Linked DNA regions of Macaca mulatta. The protein of the gene in region 1 interacts with the protein of each later gene in a pairwise test. Links are inferred from orthologs where the notes say so. Each region holds a gene or a part of one and is shown in the gene's direction. Other genes may lie near its edges.

Region 1 (3,303 bases):
CCCCAGCCGTAACCCCTGCTGCCTATGCTGGTGCTGCTGCTGTAGCTGCTCCTGGTGAGTAGGGCCTGGGGTGCCCAGCTGGAGAGGGGCTGGAGGGCCTGGGGCCAAGCAGACCCAGGAGGGGACCCAGTGGTGGCTTCTGAGGAATCCCCGCAGGTAGGGTGCTCCTGCCACCTCGCGGCGTGTCCTGTCTGGGGTCTGTTGGGCCCTGGTGATGAGTGGCCGGTGCCTTGGGCCCAGGGGACTTATGTGTGGTTCTTGTACCTGTCTTGCCAAGGGTGTGTCGGTGTGCTGTGTACACGCATGTGCCCGTTCACACGGCATGTGCTTATCCATGCTGCTGTGAGCCAGCCCAGGCTGGGCCCTGGGGGCCTGCGATGGAGTAAGACAGGCACAGGCCGGGCGCGGTGGCTCACGCCTGTAATCCCAGCACTTTGGGAGGCTGAGGCGGGCGGATCATCTGAGGTCAGGAGTTCGAAACCAGCCTGACCAACATGGAGAAACCCCGTCTCTACTAAAAATACAAAATTAGCCGGGTGTGGTGACGCATGCCTGTAATCCCAGCTACTCAGGAGGCTGAGGCAGGAGAATGGCTTGAACCTGGGAGGTGGAGGTTGCAATGAGCCGAGATCACGCCATTGCATTCCAGCCTGGGCAATAAGAGCAAAACTCTGTCTCAAAATAAAAGAAAGAAAGAGAGAGAAAGAGAGGCACAGACCCCACAGACTGTGTGGGGTGGAGGGACGTTTGAGCAGAGACTCGAATAAGGCAACTGCTGGCCCTGGGGTGATAGCCAAGAGCTTCCCGGACAGCATGCGTCGGGGGAGAAGAGCACAGGGTGGTGGGGGGGTCTTTGGGCATCCCTGTGAGGGTGGGAGTGGGGCTCCCAGATGGTAACAGATTTCCTAGGAGGGTAGGGGAGCTGGTGCATGTTTTCATGCCTTCCGACCCTGGCCGATGAGAGGACAGCGCTTCTGGACCCAACGTGGGGTCAGCTGACCCATGGGCAAGCTGGGGGTGGCCAGGGGGCAGTCGGGAAAGGGGCTGGGAGGAGCCCAGGGGCCTAGTTCCGTCAGGACGTCTGGGTGCACGATGTCTGCCAGCCGTGCCCTGGAGAAAGATCAGCCGGCTATGGATTTGGGTCCAGCATTGACAGGGTACTAGGAGCCAAGGCAAAGAAGCAGTTTCCCTTGAGAGAACCAGGGATCAGGCTCCAGGACCTAACCAGTGTGGACACATGGGTTTGGGGCTTTCAGTGGTGTCAGCTGACGAGACACACTGCTGACATGCCAGACCTGCAGCGTGTGGCCCCATCAGTGGGACAGGGACAGGCCAAGAACAGGCCGAGGAGCAGGGTGGCCATGTTCCTAGGCACACTCTCATGGGTGTCCCTGTTCCCAGGCACATGACCCTTCTGGCATCCCAGGTGTTCAGGCATCTCCCAGCTCCTTGTGGCCCCTCAGCTTGCCCCAACCCATCTCCCCTAGGGGAGCAGAGGCAGAAGGGGAGGTGGCATACCTGCTTCTCAGCCTCATGTGGGGTGGGCATGGGTGGGTGGAGGAGGTTGCCCAGTGGGCCAGGGATGGGGAGGAGCACCAGGAGCCAAAGGGTCCCTCCTGGAGGGCCAGAGACTCACGGGCACTGGGTCAAGGTGCTGGGATGGAAGAGGGCTGAGTCCGTGGGCACTGTGGCAGGGACAGTAACCTGGACTGCAGATTCCGTGGAGAATTCGGGAACGACTGACAGGGAGCATGGACACCCTTTCCCAGGAGATTGTGGGAGGAGCTAGCTGCAGGGGCTGCCCTCCTACAGTGGGTACACATGTGTGTCAGATGCCTGCCCATGTGCTGAGGGCCTGTGTGGCCATGGAGGCGTGTGTGCCCACGGCAGTGCCGCTTCCTCTCTGCCACTAGGAACCAAGAGCGGCGGCGCGCGTGGCAGGCCTCCCGGGAGAGCAAGCTGCAGCCCCTCCCCAGCTGTGAAGTATGGTGAGTCCAGCCGGCTGGTGTGTGCGTGTTGGGGGGCCCCAGGCTGGGAGACTTGAGCCTGACGTAGCCTGGCCCCAATGCCCGCAGTGCCACGCCAAGTCCTGAGGAGGTGCAGAGCTGGGCCCAGTCTTTTGACAAGCTGATGCACAGCCCGGCGGGACGCAGCGTGTTCCGGGCGTTCCTGCGGACAGAGTACAGCGAGGAGAACATGCTCTTCTGGCTGGCCTGTGAGGAGCTGAAGGCCGAGGCCAACCAGCACGTGGTGGACGAGAAGGCGAGGCTCATCTACGAGGACTACGTGTCCATCCTGTCCCCCAAGGAGGTGCGCCGGACACCACAAGGGGCAGGGGGCCGCCTGCTCCGGGCACTAGGTGGGGAAGGCACCTCCCAAGCCCCCTGACCTCAGTGCCTTGTCCTACAGGTGAGCCTGGACTCCCGTGTGCGGGAGGGCATCAACAAGAAGATGCAGGAGCCGTCCGCACACACGTTTGACGACGCACAGCTGCAGATCTACACACTCATGCACCGGGACTCCTACCCACGCTTTCTCAGCTCTCCCACCTACCGTGCCCTGCTGCTGCAGGGGCCGTCACAGTCCTCCTCCGAGGCCTAGGCCGCCCCCAGCAGCACAGACCCCACCGCCTCCTATGGCCGACTCTGGGTTGCCTTCAGGTGTTGGCTGTCGGGGCACACACCTGCGGGCCCAGCCTGGCCGGCTGGGGTCCCCAGCCGTGGAGACGGTCCTAGACCCAGTGGGGAGTGCTGTGCCTCCTGGCTCTGCCCACCCGTGGCCAAGCAGGAACTCCAGGTGCAGGGTGGGCCAGAAGCCTTCTCATCGGCCCACAGCTGGCTGGCCCAGGGCTCCTGGTGGGGGCTCTTGCATGGTGAGAGTAGGGGCCCCCCCAGGAGCCATGCTGGACCCAGGAGCCTCGTTGGGGCCTCTTCCCCAGGCAGCTGACGGGCCCCGGACAAGCCTTGGTGGGGAGCAGAACCTCTGCATCATGTAGTTCTATGACATAAGGAGACCTCCTACTTGAGCTGTCTGTACCCCAGAATCAAACCCAGAACCTCAGAACCAGATGTAGGACCTCAGAATCCTGCACTCAAGGTGGCAGGACCCAATTTCTGTTTTATATGTTCATGAACTTTAAACCTGGAAACATATCCTTACTAGGTGTTTTATCAAAAAAAAAGTTTTCATATTTATCTCTATCCCTAACCCCCCAAAAATAGGATGTCTTATTATTGAAGATATTTTTAAAGCACAAGTCTCTACTCATTTTTGTCCAAGTGTGGGGAGAGACTGGAGAATGAG
Region 2 (3,993 bases), on another chromosome or scaffold:
CCCATTTTTTTTTTTTTTTTGAGACGGAGTCTTGCTCTGTCGCCCAGGCTGGAGTGCAGTGGCCGGATCTCAGCTCACTGCAAGCTCTGCCTCCCGGGTTCACACCATTCTCCTGCCTCAGCCTCCCGAGTAGCTGGGACTACAGGCGCCCGCCACCTCGCCCGGCTAGTTTTTTGTATTTTTAGTGGAGACGGGGTTTCATCATGTTAGCCAGGATGGTCTCGATCTTCTGACCTCGTGATCCGCCCGTCTCGGCCTCCCAAAGTGCTGGGATTACAGGCTTGAGCCACCGCGCCCGGCTTTTTTTCTTTTTAGATGGAGTTTTGCTCTGTCGCCCAAGCTGGTGTGCAATGAATGGCGTGATCTCGGCTCACTGCAACCTCTGCCTCCCGGGTTGAAGCAGTTCTCTTGCCTCAGCCTCCTGAGTAGCTGGGATTACAGGCGCCCACCACCACGCCCAGCTAATTTTTGTATTTTTAGTAGAGACGGGGTTTCACCATGTTGGCCAGGCTGGTCTCGAACTCCTGATCTCAAGTGATCCGCTCGCCTCGGCCTCCAAAAGTGCTGGGATTACTGGCGTGAGTCCCTGGGCCCGGCCTTTGTTTTTTCTTTTTCGATTTGCTGCAACCCAGAGGGAGAAGGCGGTTTACCGCCTTAAGACAAAGAAAACCGCAGTCCAGAAAGGCTCCCGAGTTCTGTAGATTCCAAAACAAGTTTATTGGACTCATTAACTTTAACAAATGACAAAGACACGCCTCCTCCACCTAACTCGCCCAACTCGCAGAAGCTCAGAGCGCTGGTTCCTGCTCTGTCCTCGAGGGCACCGGATCCCCACCCTCGGGCTAACAGATCCGCCCTCCCGGCTGTCCAGCAACTGAGCTCCCGGCGCTCCGCACCCAATCACAGCCCGGCCCCGCCTGCAACCCGCCCAGTGCCGGGTCCCTGGGTTTGGATCCACCCCTATTGCCTTTGCTCCGCGTGGCCACGCCTGCAGCCGAGGCCCGAGCCTGGGCTGCGCCTCATTCCCCCTTCGCCCCGCCCTCAAGCCAATCACCAGCCTCGAATCTCCTCTGGCCCCGCCTCCAGACCCGCCCCGGCCCAGTCCCGGGCTTGGTTAGCCCAGGCCCCACCCCCGGCCCGCCCCGCCGTCGGTGCGCGGCGGTCGGGAAGGCGCCTCCTGCAGACGCTCTGAACTGCCGACCCGAGAGCTTCCCGCAGAGGGCTGGTAGTGGGAGCGGAGCGGGTCGGGCGGGGCCGGGCGGGGCCGAGCCGGGCCGTGGGCCGTGTGGGGGCCGGGCGGCGGCCGGGCCGGCGGACGGCGGGATGGGCTGCACAGTGAGCGCCGAGGACAAGGCGGCGGCCGAGCGCTCTAAGATGATCGACAAGAACCTGCGGGAGGACGGAGAGAAGGCGGCGCGGGAGGTGAAGTTGCTGCTGTTGGGTGAGGCCGCGTCCCGCACTGGGATCCTTAATTCCCAGCTCGAATCCCCAGACAAGGACTTTGACCTCTCATACTAGGGCTTCGAACTCCCAGACTCGGGCTGTCTGGGACCCCACACCTGGGCCAGGACCAGGGTTGAAAACTCTAGGTTGGGCTAGACCTTCGATCCTGCCCAGACTCTAGACCAGATCCCTATCTCATCCCAGACCTCCAAATCCAGCCAACAGTGCCCCAACACCCGCGGTCCAGTGCCCTGCTTGGCCATCCCCCCTTACTAACCAGCTTCACAGAACTTCAGAGACCCCGCCATCCTTCCTTACACTTTACCCAAACCCCCAGGATGCCCGCCACTTGTTCCCCAACCCTCAGGCTCCACTTGTTTTCCTCATCTGCGCCTTTTATTCCTGTTGGGCATGAGCATCCCGCGGAGCCCCTGCCAGGCCCCCTACCCACTCCCTCCTTCTCCCTCTGTGCCCCATCCCCAGTCTGGAATCTGTGTCTTCCACCTGTGCGTTCTGACCCAAGGAACCTCTGGAATGGGAAACTGCTCTTGAGCCCGCTCTCCAACTGGAACCCCTTCAGCGAGCCCTGCTCCCTGCTTCCTGCCCTCCAGATCCTTCTCTGCAAGCATCACTCCCGAAACCTTCTGCTGATCCTCCACTAAGTCCTCTTACACTCTGGCCTTCCCCAATCCTTCCACCTCTCCTGCACCAAGTGGGCTGGGCTAGGATGAGGGAGCCCCGGATTGGAGAGGGCCTAGGCTGCCTTACGAAGAACCCCCACGGGGCTGGACTGAGGCTCCACTGGTCAAGCTGTGGGAGGGGGCCAGGCCTCAGGCTTCCCAGGGAGGCTCTGCGGGCTCTATGTTTTCCAGTTTCGAAGGCCAGTCTGGGAAGTAGGAGAGAGTGTGGAGGAGTTAGGGTTGTGGTCGCCTCCAAGGCCAGGAAAGATGGTGGCTGCTAGAGGGGTGGGGGGAAGTGGAAGTGGTGAGATAGCCGACATATTGCTGCCCCTGCGGGTGAGCCCAAGAGATCTGCTAGTAGGTGCTGGGCTGCCCACACCCCTTCTGGGCTGCAAGGCCTGGGATGTAGCCACTGAGAGTTCGGGGGCTTGTTGGATCTTGGGACCCTGTGAAGGGGGATGGTGGACTAGCTGAATGAGGAGTTGAGGGGCCAGCTAGGGGTGGGCCAGGGTGCTTCTGAGCATCCCAGCTGGCCTTTTGCAAAGACAGTGGGCCTACTGGCTGTCCCCATCCAACCTCCCACTGGAAGTAGGGGTGGTGCCCAGTGGCAGTCTGATTTTGATTTGGGGGTTTTAGAGTCGGGGGAGGGAGGCCCTTGCAACAGCACAGCACCGTTGTAGGCTGAGTACTGCCTGGGGGGGTGTGGCCCCTCAGCTTCAGAACTGTCATGGGGCTCCCAGGCTGTGAAAAGCAAGGCTTTTCGTGCTGGGCCTGTGGCCGAGGAACAGCATGTATGTTCATTATGGGCCCATCTGTTGACTGTCCCTGCGGACCTAGCCTCCGGGGCACAGCCTCGGAGGTTTCAAAATGGCATCCGCTTCGCTGCTGCCTCAGGGAGGAAGAGAAGGGGCGGGAAGGGGCGGCGGCCCAGCCTCCTGGGCTGCTTTGCGTTGGGCGCTTGCCTCTTCCTGTCTCTGCTGTGAGTGCGGCAGCGGCAGTGAGTGGGTGTCGACGCGGCGGAATGCCCATCGCTGCTACTGCTGCTGCTGCCCGATGGGCCTGGGGAGGGCACTTCCGGTACCGCTGCCTCCCAGTGCCCAGCCAGGAGTCTCTAGCCAGCCTCTCCCTAGGCTGATTGCAGCTACTGTGGTGACTGAGGAAATGCAAGACTGGACCATAGAGCTGGGGGAACGTAGGGCTTCTGGCTAGTTTTGTGTCCCGACACTAGAAGGGTCCCCGATCCCACCAGACTTGCTCCTTGGAGCCCAGCTCAGCTTTTGGGCTAAGTCAAGTGAGACCCGGCAAGTCCTCCCACACTGGGCTGGCAGCAGCCAGGGAGGCAGGGTCTGGCTTAGCACTTTCTAGCCTGGGGAGTTCACCCTGGGGTCCTGGCCTTCTGGCCTTTGCTTACCCTGTGAAATGGGCTTCCTGGGTTTGGGCCAAAGGAGTATCCCAGCTCAGGGTGGGGAGAACAAGAGCCTCCTGGTGGTTCTTGTTGGGGATGTGGGTTGGGAGTTAAGACCCTGCAGTGTGCTGCAAAGGGCTCTGACTAAGCTCTGCCCGATATTGACGACCCAATCTGCCATGGCTGCCTGGGGAGGGATCCTGGCTTGAGCCATGCCTTTCCCATTCAGGTGCAAGGTGGTGATGGGAGCCCAGCTGTGGCAAGTTCAGAGTTCTGGGCGCCTGTCCCATGTAGCGGGAGACTTTGTCCAGGCAACGGGACTCAGGTTGGGCAACTGCCAGCCTTCCCTCCCAGCCAGAACCACGCCTGCTGCCCTGCCTGCACATCGCCTCCCTCCATCCTGGGTAGCTCTGCCAGCAGGCGGGCACAGTTCTTGTCACCAGGGTAGAGGCTGATGTGGTACAC
Region 3 (4,173 bases), about 87 Mb from region 1:
AGAGGAAACATTCCCAGGGAGGTTACGGGATGATGCTGAGATGCCATAGTGTCCGGCTGGCAAAGCCAGGCACAGTAGCCCCTGCCTCCCCACCACAGAGCTACGATGGAGAGACCACTCTATTGACCTCTGCCATGGTCAGGTCCAGGGCTGCTGCTCAAAGAATGGCACGATCCACATAATTTGACCACAAAGGTGTAAGGTGATAAGGAAGGTGTTAGCTGGGAAGGCATCTGCACTTTGCCAGGGATGCTCTAGGATACACAAAGCTTCAGGTTACAAAGATGGAGAAGACAGAGAGCAGCATTCACGTCTTGGCCCTCTGGCTTGAGAGTCTTTTAAGCATGGAAGTGAGGGGGCTCCTGGCCCTGAGGTCCACAGACAGGCTTTGAAATTGAAAGCAGAATTTTGCAGCCTGGGTTCAGCTGCATTCTGCTGAGGGTCTGATGCTTTCCACGAGCTTCCCAACAGCGCCAATGGCCTTAACTGAACTGGCTCCCTCACTTTTTTCTGGGCTGGGGGCCAGCTCCTTGGTCCTTCTCCCTTCCTTCCCTCCCAAGGCCACCTTTCCGTGTGCCAGGATTGCCAGGGACGCCAAAGAGCCCCTACACACTGGAGCAGCAGAGATGACTAATGCCCCCTCCCATCGCGGCACAAACCTCACCGTTGTAAATCGTTAGGGTTTGCATAGGCCTTTCACACGTTCTGAAGGATTGGTGAGACAATCCAGGAAAGCAGGTGCCACTAGCCCCACTTTGCAAACAGAAAGGCTGGAAGAGGTCAGTCGGTTGCCCAAGGACGCAGAGCTCACAAGAGGCCGAGCTGGGTTTGAACCCGAGTGGAGAGAAGGTGAGCCGGGACGACTGGCTGCAGTTAAGAGGGCCAGGGCCATGACTGGGCTCAGGCTCGTTTTCCCGGGCTGCCAGAAGTAGCCCCTCGGGCTCGGCTACCAGGCCTCAGCGCAGCGGAGTCACTGGGACGCCGGCGCGGGGAGCGCGTGCGGGACCGCGGCGCGCGCGGAGTCGCGACCCCGCCCCTGTCCGTCCCCATTGGACTGTTGGCCCGTCCGTCAGCTGCTTGTGCCCAATGGACAGAGGGTCGGAGCTCGTGGCGGGGCGGAGGTGCCCGGCGCGTGGTGCCCGGCGGGCGCGCGGCACCCCCCGCCCGCGGTTGGCCTGGCAACGGGCTGCGCTCGCGGCTCCGCCCCCTGCCGGCGGCGGCTCGGCGCGGGGCGGGCGGACCAGCGGGCGGGCGGCGGGCGGCGCGGGAGGGCGGGCGGAGGGAGCCAGGCCGGCCGGAGCGTGTGCGCCGCCCGCGGTCCGGTCACGTCCCCGCGTGGGCGCCGCCGCCCGCGTCGTACGGAACGAGGGCGCCGCGGCCCCGCGCTCGCCGCCCCGCCCCGCCCCGCCCTGCCAGGAGCAGCTCAGCAGATGCTCTGTGCCGCGGCCCGGAGGTGAGTGAGCCGACCCGCGGCCGGGCGCGCGCCGCTGAGCCTCGGGGGTCGGGAGCATGACCGGGGCGTCCACCTTGCCCTCACTTGGTACTCCTCCCGGGCCTTTGTGCCCCGAATCCGCCAGGACGCAGCGTCAGGGATGCCCGTCAGGGGTGGGGGACACCAAGGGCGGGGACGTCTGCGAGGTGGGCAGGGGGCGGCCTCTGGTCGGGCAGGTGCCGGGGGAGGGAGGCGCCGCCAAGCCCATGACCCCGCGGGAGGGGGCGGCTGCGGACCCGGGACGATGGACAGAGGGCGCCGGGGATGCCGCGCGGGGCTGCCGGGCGCCCCCGAGCAGCGGCTGGTGCGGAGCCTGGGCGGGCAAGGCGAGCTGCGGGAGCGGCGCTGAGGCGGGTCTCCCTAGAGGGGGATCAGGGAGGGGCGGCCGGAGCTGATGCAGGGCCTTTCCCGAAACCAAGGAAAGGGCCCCAGAGGCCTGGGCCCGAGGACCTGGGCCCGGAGACGGACGGCTAGTAGTTCTCGGTCACTCACTGCTCTTGAAGCGAGCAGGTTCCTCACAGGCATTTAGAGCAAGAGATGAGTATCGACCTGCTGCGATTGTAATACGTTCCCGGCTCAATATTTTTTGCCTTAAAAGGCGGTGGGGGTGTTTGGGGGAGGGGAGTGAGGGCCTCAGGGCAGGCGCTCCGTATCCTGCGGGCGATCCGAGGGGGCTCTGCCTTTAGGGCGGTGCTGAGCCTTTCTGGGTGATGATGGCAGGATTCGGCCTAGGCCGAGAATTGGGGCTCCTGTTACTGAGACAAGAGGACGATGCCAAGCAAGACCAGTGTTCCACGGAGTCCGTGTTGAGGTGGAGGGACCCGCCTGGTAGAGAGGTCTGTCTTGCTTGGGGAGACAGCTCAGCCCCTGACCGGCTCCTTTCTGCCCAAGTGATTTCCCTGCCCTGGGGATTGAGCTCTCTGGAGAAGGCTCCTTGGCCAAATTCAATTAAGCAAATATTTACTGAGTGCTCACTCCCCGAGGGCCTGGTGCTGGGGTGCACCGGGTGGGAGTGGACTGGGCCTCCCCTCCCAGAACTGATTCTCCACCCCATAGGGGAAAACGTCTCTACTCGGCCAACCCAGCCTGAGTGCAGGTGCAGGGGCCTTGGTAGGGACCTTAGAGTGGTGCCCTGCGCTGGGGGGTCAGGTGAGCCCGTGGACAACATGACATTTGAACTGGAGCTTGAAGGACATGGGCACAGCTAAGCTGGGCATTGTGGGCAGAGAGGAGAGAATGGACCAAGGCACTTGGGCGGTTAGGTCTAATGGGAGCACCGGCAAGCCTGGGGAGGAGTGGGAGGTATGGCGGGAAAGGCGGGTGGGGGCTGCACGGAGCTGAGGGAGCTTGGAAGTGGAATGACCTCGCTGCTGGTTAGCTGTGGCTGTGGTGGAAACCACAGCTTCCTCATCTGTAAAAGCGAAGCAGTTCCATGACCCCATGAGCTGGGGTGGGCCTGGAGAAGGGCTAGCTTAAAAGACTGGGGAAGGCTCCTTGCAGTCTGAGTCTGTGCTTCCAGGCACTTCTCCCTTGGGCACAGCCAGGGCACCGGGTAACCACCCAGGCAACCCCCTTGTTAGGATTGAGTTGCCTGTTTTGGGGATGATGCTTAGCTGGTGACTCTGTGCCTCTGGGATGTGGATGTTTGAGAGCAGTAATCGTGGCAGCCTGGGAGCATCCATCTAGGGGGTGCAGTGGGGGTGTGGATGGCCTGGCGGTGCTTGGATAAAATATGCGCCTTAAGCAAGCCTCATTCTCTAGGAATGAGAAGATGCTGGCATCTGGTTTAAAAGTCTTCCTGTGTGTTCCTCTAACAGACGTTGATTTTCTGAGACAGGAGGTGAATAAGGCATAATTTCTCCCCCTCGGAAGCTGGTGTCACTTTCTGCCCTAGGTCAGCCCCCTCATTTCTGGGGATGTTTTGCTCTCCCTCTGAAGGAACTGTTTGTTACTCATCTTTGTGGTGTTCCTGCCCTCCCCACCCAACACACACTTGGCTTTGGCCAAGGCCCAGGTTGATGCAGCGAGAACAGGGCCTGCCCTCGTGGGGTGTGCAGTCTGTGCTGAGCAGGGTGAGCTGCTGCGCTCTGTGCCTGTCGCCTGGACAGTTGCAGGGACCTGGCATGCAACTGTGGGTTTGGGACACCAGGAATGGATTCTTCCCTCTGTCCCCAGCCTCTCAGGCCTTTTGTTTTCTAGTCTCAGGAGGAACCTCAGAGACCTGGAGGCCCCACCAGAGTGGCTGGAACCCGATGCAGGAGTGTGGGTGGGGCTCAGTCTGGACCTCAGGAGCTTCTAGAACAATTCCAGGAATTTGCAGGTAACTGGATGGACTTGACAGGGCTGCCCAGGGCCCCCGCAGAGAGGCCAGTAGGACAGGAATGCTGAATATAGCAATTTAGGAATGCTGAATTTAGTCATCTTGTGTGTGAACACATGTGTGCAGCTTCCTCCTCTGGAGGCAGGGAAGGCAGCCCTGTGCTGTCTGTCCCACGCTAGCCTCAGAAGACTTAATTGTGTGGCGGCAAAGGCACTCTCACTGCTGCTGACCATGGCAGATGCACGGGCGCACTGGAGGAGGCAGGTCAGCACTCTGCTCTCCCGAACCCTCCAGGAAGGAAACCTGGGGTAGCCAAGCCTCTGGGTGCCTGTGAGCACTGTGCTTGGCTGGAAGGAGCACA
Region 4 (4,034 bases), on another chromosome or scaffold:
CTAGCTCACAAGCGTGGTCTCAGTGACCTACTCGAAAGCTATTCTGCTTGTATCATCAGTTCAGCCTCACCTTGGAAAACTCAAGCCCAGTTTTCTCAAATGATTTTTAGATAATAAGATTTCCAGATGAAAACCAGGGAGCATTTCCCAATTTTTAATACATCAAGGAAGATGTTTTTCCTTGCTACCAGTCCCATTTTCTAATCAGTTAACGCTTCCTGTGATATCTGTAGGGGAAAGGTGTAGTGCAATTGACAGGGAGAGATGAGATCTTAAGCCTCTGCTCATTCATTGGGTGCTGAGTAGTAATGCCTCCTGCAGGCCACAGGAACTTATCTCGGGCGGATCAGTTACAGCTGGAAGGATGGGGCCATAGCCCCATAAATGCACTCCTCATTTTATGGGGAAAGAAGCTAAGGCCTGTAAAAACGACATGCCCAGTGGTACAGGAGTTACAAACACGGTAATAAATATTGGCTCAAAATTTGGCATGGAAGCTTATGTGCTGCTCTAGAGGAGATCTGCTATGATGTGGAGATTGGCTTGTTGTGGGTGTATTTTATTGCTCTTATCATTTAAAAGTACTTTTTGATTATTTGTCTCCCATTTTTTTAGGTTACAAGGAAATCCTTCAAAATGAGTTCTTGTGAAAAACCTGAGAATGGAAGGAAGGAGGGAGGGATAGGAAGAAGGAAAGAGAAGCAAAAGGTAGGAAGAAAGTTGACCTTGTTGCCCTTTCCTAGTCTCCTCCCCCGACTTTCCTGTTCTCCACTGTGTCCATCTCTGGTTTCACCAGGCTCCATTCCTTCCCCAGCTCCCTGTTTCCCACGGCCCTGAAAGCCAGCCGACAGGGATTTGCATTTTGAAAAGCCTTGTGTGGCTGCCGGCGCTGGGCATGCTCAAACGCCCAGAACTGGCTTTTTTCGGCAACTTTGGCAGCTCTCCCACCCCTACCCGAAAGGGCAGGTACGCACAGCTCCGTTGGTGTGAGTAAACGGAAAGAAATTACCCCACTCCCGCCCAGGGCAGAAGGCCACAGGCCCGCGGGTCAGTGTTGTGCTCCGGGGACGCTGCCAGGGGGCGCCGGGCCCTCGGGGGTGTCGCGGCGCCGCGGTAGGGAGCCGGGGGGCGCGCGCGCCCCTCCGAGTGGGCGCTGTCCAAGGGCACGTGCGCGGGCGCGCGCTCTGGGAGTGGTCGCGGGGTGGCAGGAGGGGCGGGGCCGCGGCGGCGCGCGGAGGCCGAGCTCGGCTGGGCTTGGCGAGGCTGCGGCGCGGCCACCGGCGGGAGGGCAGCAGTCACTGTACCCAGAGCTTCAAAACCCCAAACCGGAGACTTGGGGGCGCTGAGCCGCACCGGGAAGCAGAGCCTGGCCGTGAGGAACAGCCGCGCGTTGCTGTCTGCCCCTCTGCGGACGGCGTCTCTCTCGACTCCGCTTAGGAAGTGGTGGGGGTGGCGTGGCCCCCGTCGGGAGGCGTTCGAACGCCCGCTCAGAGAGAGAAAGGATTCCCCTGTGCTTGGAGCCCGCACTCGGGCGCGGAGGGAGCGGCGGCAGGCTCTCGCTCTCGGCAACATGGGCTGCACGCTGAGCGCCGAGGACAAGGCGGCGGTGGAGCGGAGTAAGATGATCGACCGCAACCTCCGCGAGGACGGCGAGAAGGCGGCGCGCGAGGTCAAGCTGCTGCTGCTTGGTAAGGGCGGCCGGGTCGGGGACCCCGGGTCGGCGGGGGACCGGGCGCGGCGCTCCGCGGTGACCGCTGCGCGGCCCTCGGCGTTTGGAAACCCGGAGGGAAGGGGAGGAAGCGCCCGAGGAGGCTTCCGAGCGGGAGCTAGGTCAGGCGGTGCGCAGCCGAGGCGGGTCCTCCTCTCCGGGTGCCCGGCCTCCCTCCGCCCCGGCGGGCGAGGACTCCCCGTGGTGGGGCGGGCGCGTCACTTCTCTCGGATGCCTTCGGCGACCCAGCAAAGAGCCCAGGCGCGAGTCCGAGGCGGCGGGTCCTGTGGAAACCCTTTGCTTTGAAGTTTAGCTCAGCCTTACAAAGACGAAGGGGCATTCGTGGCTAGAAAATAACCACCCCCCCACGCCGTCCCCAGCCCCCTCCCGGAAAACCCTTCTTCGTGTGAGGTGTGGGTTGTGTTTCGACTGTGGTTTTCTCATGCCCAGAGTGCCACGTTTGGTGAAATCAGTGCACCTTTTGTGGGGTCTCTGAGATGGGGCTGAAATGTCTTTCCTGTTAACTTCCTATGGCGACTCCTTAAGTGGTCAAGGAGCATCGATTACATTCCGCCTGCGCTGGGGAAAGGCTGCGCTGGATGCTTGATTTTTCTTGCTGTAGGGGCATGGAAGCCACCCAAGTGGGGTTGGGAAGCTTTGCTTTAGTAGTAGGCAAGACTCGAGTGGTGAAAACTGCTGTGAAAGGAGCGAGAGGGTCACGCCAGACAACACGGTTCTCCCTCCGCTGCCACCGTTTCTGATGAATGAGATTTGCCAGGTACACGCAAGGCTTTTATTTGTTCTTCGCACTGTTCTGTTCGTGAAACGCTACGTGGAGGTCTTTTCCAAATGTTTGACAGGGAAGAAAATAAAAAAGAGTAAACCAGGGTTTTCATTGAGGGAAGCAGTAGGAAAATAGTCACAGGTTAAGATTTGTGAGTTAGGGTTTTCTTTTGTTTGCATGTTTTCTTCTCACACTCTAGGTATTTAGATGAAAAATTTCTCAGAATCTTCATTTGCATTTCCAAGGACTGCTTTTATTTTTATACCAGTTATAATAAAAAAGAAATGTTGCACAAACCTGTTTTCAGTAAGCTTCTGTTTCATTGGTTTAATGACTGCAGAAAAAATGGTGGTTTTTTTTTCTCCATTACTAGTAGGCTTGGGAGCAGCAAAGTTGGCATGACTAAAAGTAATAATGATCTGAGTCATTTTGCAAGTAAACTGTGAAATAACTTTGCATTTTAAAGACCTGCGTGGCTTTTTTCACCCTCTCGCCCCCAACATAAGTCTTTCTCAGTTAATGCTGTTGCCTAAGTTTTTACATTATTAAGAAATACTGTGTTTTGAGGAGGTTAGTGTATCTGCTTCTCTTGTGAATTGAATGTGAGATAGATATGAAATGAAAGGATTAAAAAGTTTTTTTCTTGCAGTTTTTGCTCTCCTGGTGTGATATGTTGTTTCAGTGTATTTTTGTGTGACTCTTAGTTTGAGCCAGCCATCCACCATGTTTAAAGCAATTGAGAAATGAATCATCTGGTCGTGGTGTTTTGTCCTTTAATTAGGTGACTGTTAGGGATGGACTAGAATAAAGGTCCCAGGAGGAGGCTTTTGCTTGTGTTCAGAAGAGATCAGTGTGTCTTAACCTTAGCACGGTTGGCATTTGGGGCCGGGAAATTCTTTGTTGTGCAGGTTGTTTTTGTGCATTGTAGGATGTTCAGCAGCATCTTTGGCCTCCACTCATTAGATGGTAGTAGCAGTCCCCCAACCTATGAGCTCCAAAAGCGTTTCCACATATTGCTAGAAGTCCTCTGGGGGCAATATACAGCCTTAGTTAAGGACCACTGTTCTAGATTAACACTTAAATATAATTGAATGTATAATATAGAATCAGAAGGTGAATCTTTACAGTCATCATAGTGAGTTTGGAGAGAGATGTAGCAGAGGCCTTATTTTCAGAAGAAATTATGGAATTCTTATTTCTGTTTTGTTTTTGTTTGTTTTTTTGAGACGGAGTCTTGCTCTGTCGCCCAGGCTGGAGTGCAGTGGCCCGATCTCGGCTCACAGCAACCTTCGCCTCCTGGTTCGAGCCATTCTCCTGCCTCAGCCTCCGGAGTAGCTGGAACTACGGGTGCGTGCCACCATGCCTGGCTAATTTTGTGTTTTTAGTAGAGACCGGGTTTCCCCATGTTGGCCAGGCTTGTCTCGAACTCCTGACCTCAGGTGATCCGCCCGCCTCGGCCTCCCAAAGTCCTGGGATTACAGGCGTGAGCCACCTCGCCTGACCAGAATTCTTATTTCGTTAAACCAGTACTAGCACCATTAG

Evidence for each region. The genes of interacting proteins can lie anywhere in the genome.
Region 2: the proteins of RGS19 (region 1) and GNAI2 interact in a two-hybrid assay, tested with the Homo sapiens proteins (2 studies listed by BioGRID and IntAct). The link is inferred for Macaca mulatta from reciprocal best matches to the Homo sapiens genes RGS19 and GNAI2.
Region 3: the proteins of RGS19 (region 1) and GNAZ interact in a two-hybrid assay, tested with the Homo sapiens proteins (2 studies listed by BioGRID). The link is inferred for Macaca mulatta from reciprocal best matches to the Homo sapiens genes RGS19 and GNAZ.
Region 4: the proteins of RGS19 (region 1) and GNAI1 interact in a two-hybrid assay, tested with the Homo sapiens proteins (2 studies listed by BioGRID). The link is inferred for Macaca mulatta from reciprocal best matches to the Homo sapiens genes RGS19 and GNAI1.

Annotation. Positions count from the first base shown.
Region 1 is NC_133415.1:116,963,748-116,967,050, reverse strand, and holds the end of RGS19 (regulator of G-protein signaling 19), read left to right. Parts: coding exon 1-54; intron 55-1,913; coding exon 1,914-1,988; intron 1,989-2,075; coding exon 2,076-2,310; intron 2,311-2,409; coding exon 2,410-2,601; 3' UTR 2,602-2,803; downstream 2,804-3,303. UniProt on the Homo sapiens protein: Inhibits signal transduction by increasing the GTPase activity of G protein alpha subunits thereby driving them into their inactive GDP-bound form. Binds to G-alpha subfamily 1 members, with the order G(i)a3 > G(i)a1 > G(o)a >> G(z)a/G(i)a2.
Region 2 is NC_133407.1:113,710,040-113,714,032, forward strand, and holds the start of GNAI2 (guanine nucleotide-binding protein G(i) subunit alpha-2), read left to right. Parts: upstream 1-1,193; 5' UTR 1,194-1,323; coding exon 1,324-1,441; exon of another isoform or gene 1,442-1,762; intron 1,763-3,993. UniProt on the Homo sapiens protein: Guanine nucleotide-binding proteins (G proteins) are involved as modulators or transducers in various transmembrane signaling systems.
Region 3 is NC_133415.1:29,524,276-29,528,448, reverse strand, and holds the start of GNAZ (guanine nucleotide-binding protein G(z) subunit alpha), read left to right. Parts: upstream 1-1,373; 5' UTR 1,374-1,453; exon of another isoform or gene 1,454-1,638; intron 1,639-3,691; exon of another isoform or gene 3,692-3,812; intron 3,813-4,173. UniProt on the Homo sapiens protein: Guanine nucleotide-binding proteins (G proteins) are involved as modulators or transducers in various transmembrane signaling systems.
Region 4 is NC_133408.1:139,347,589-139,351,622, reverse strand, and holds the start of GNAI1 (guanine nucleotide-binding protein G(i) subunit alpha-1), read left to right. Parts: upstream 1-1,234; 5' UTR 1,235-1,570; coding exon 1,571-1,688; intron 1,689-1,826; exon of another isoform or gene 1,827-2,486; intron 2,487-4,034. UniProt on the Homo sapiens protein: Guanine nucleotide-binding proteins (G proteins) function as transducers downstream of G protein-coupled receptors (GPCRs) in numerous signaling cascades.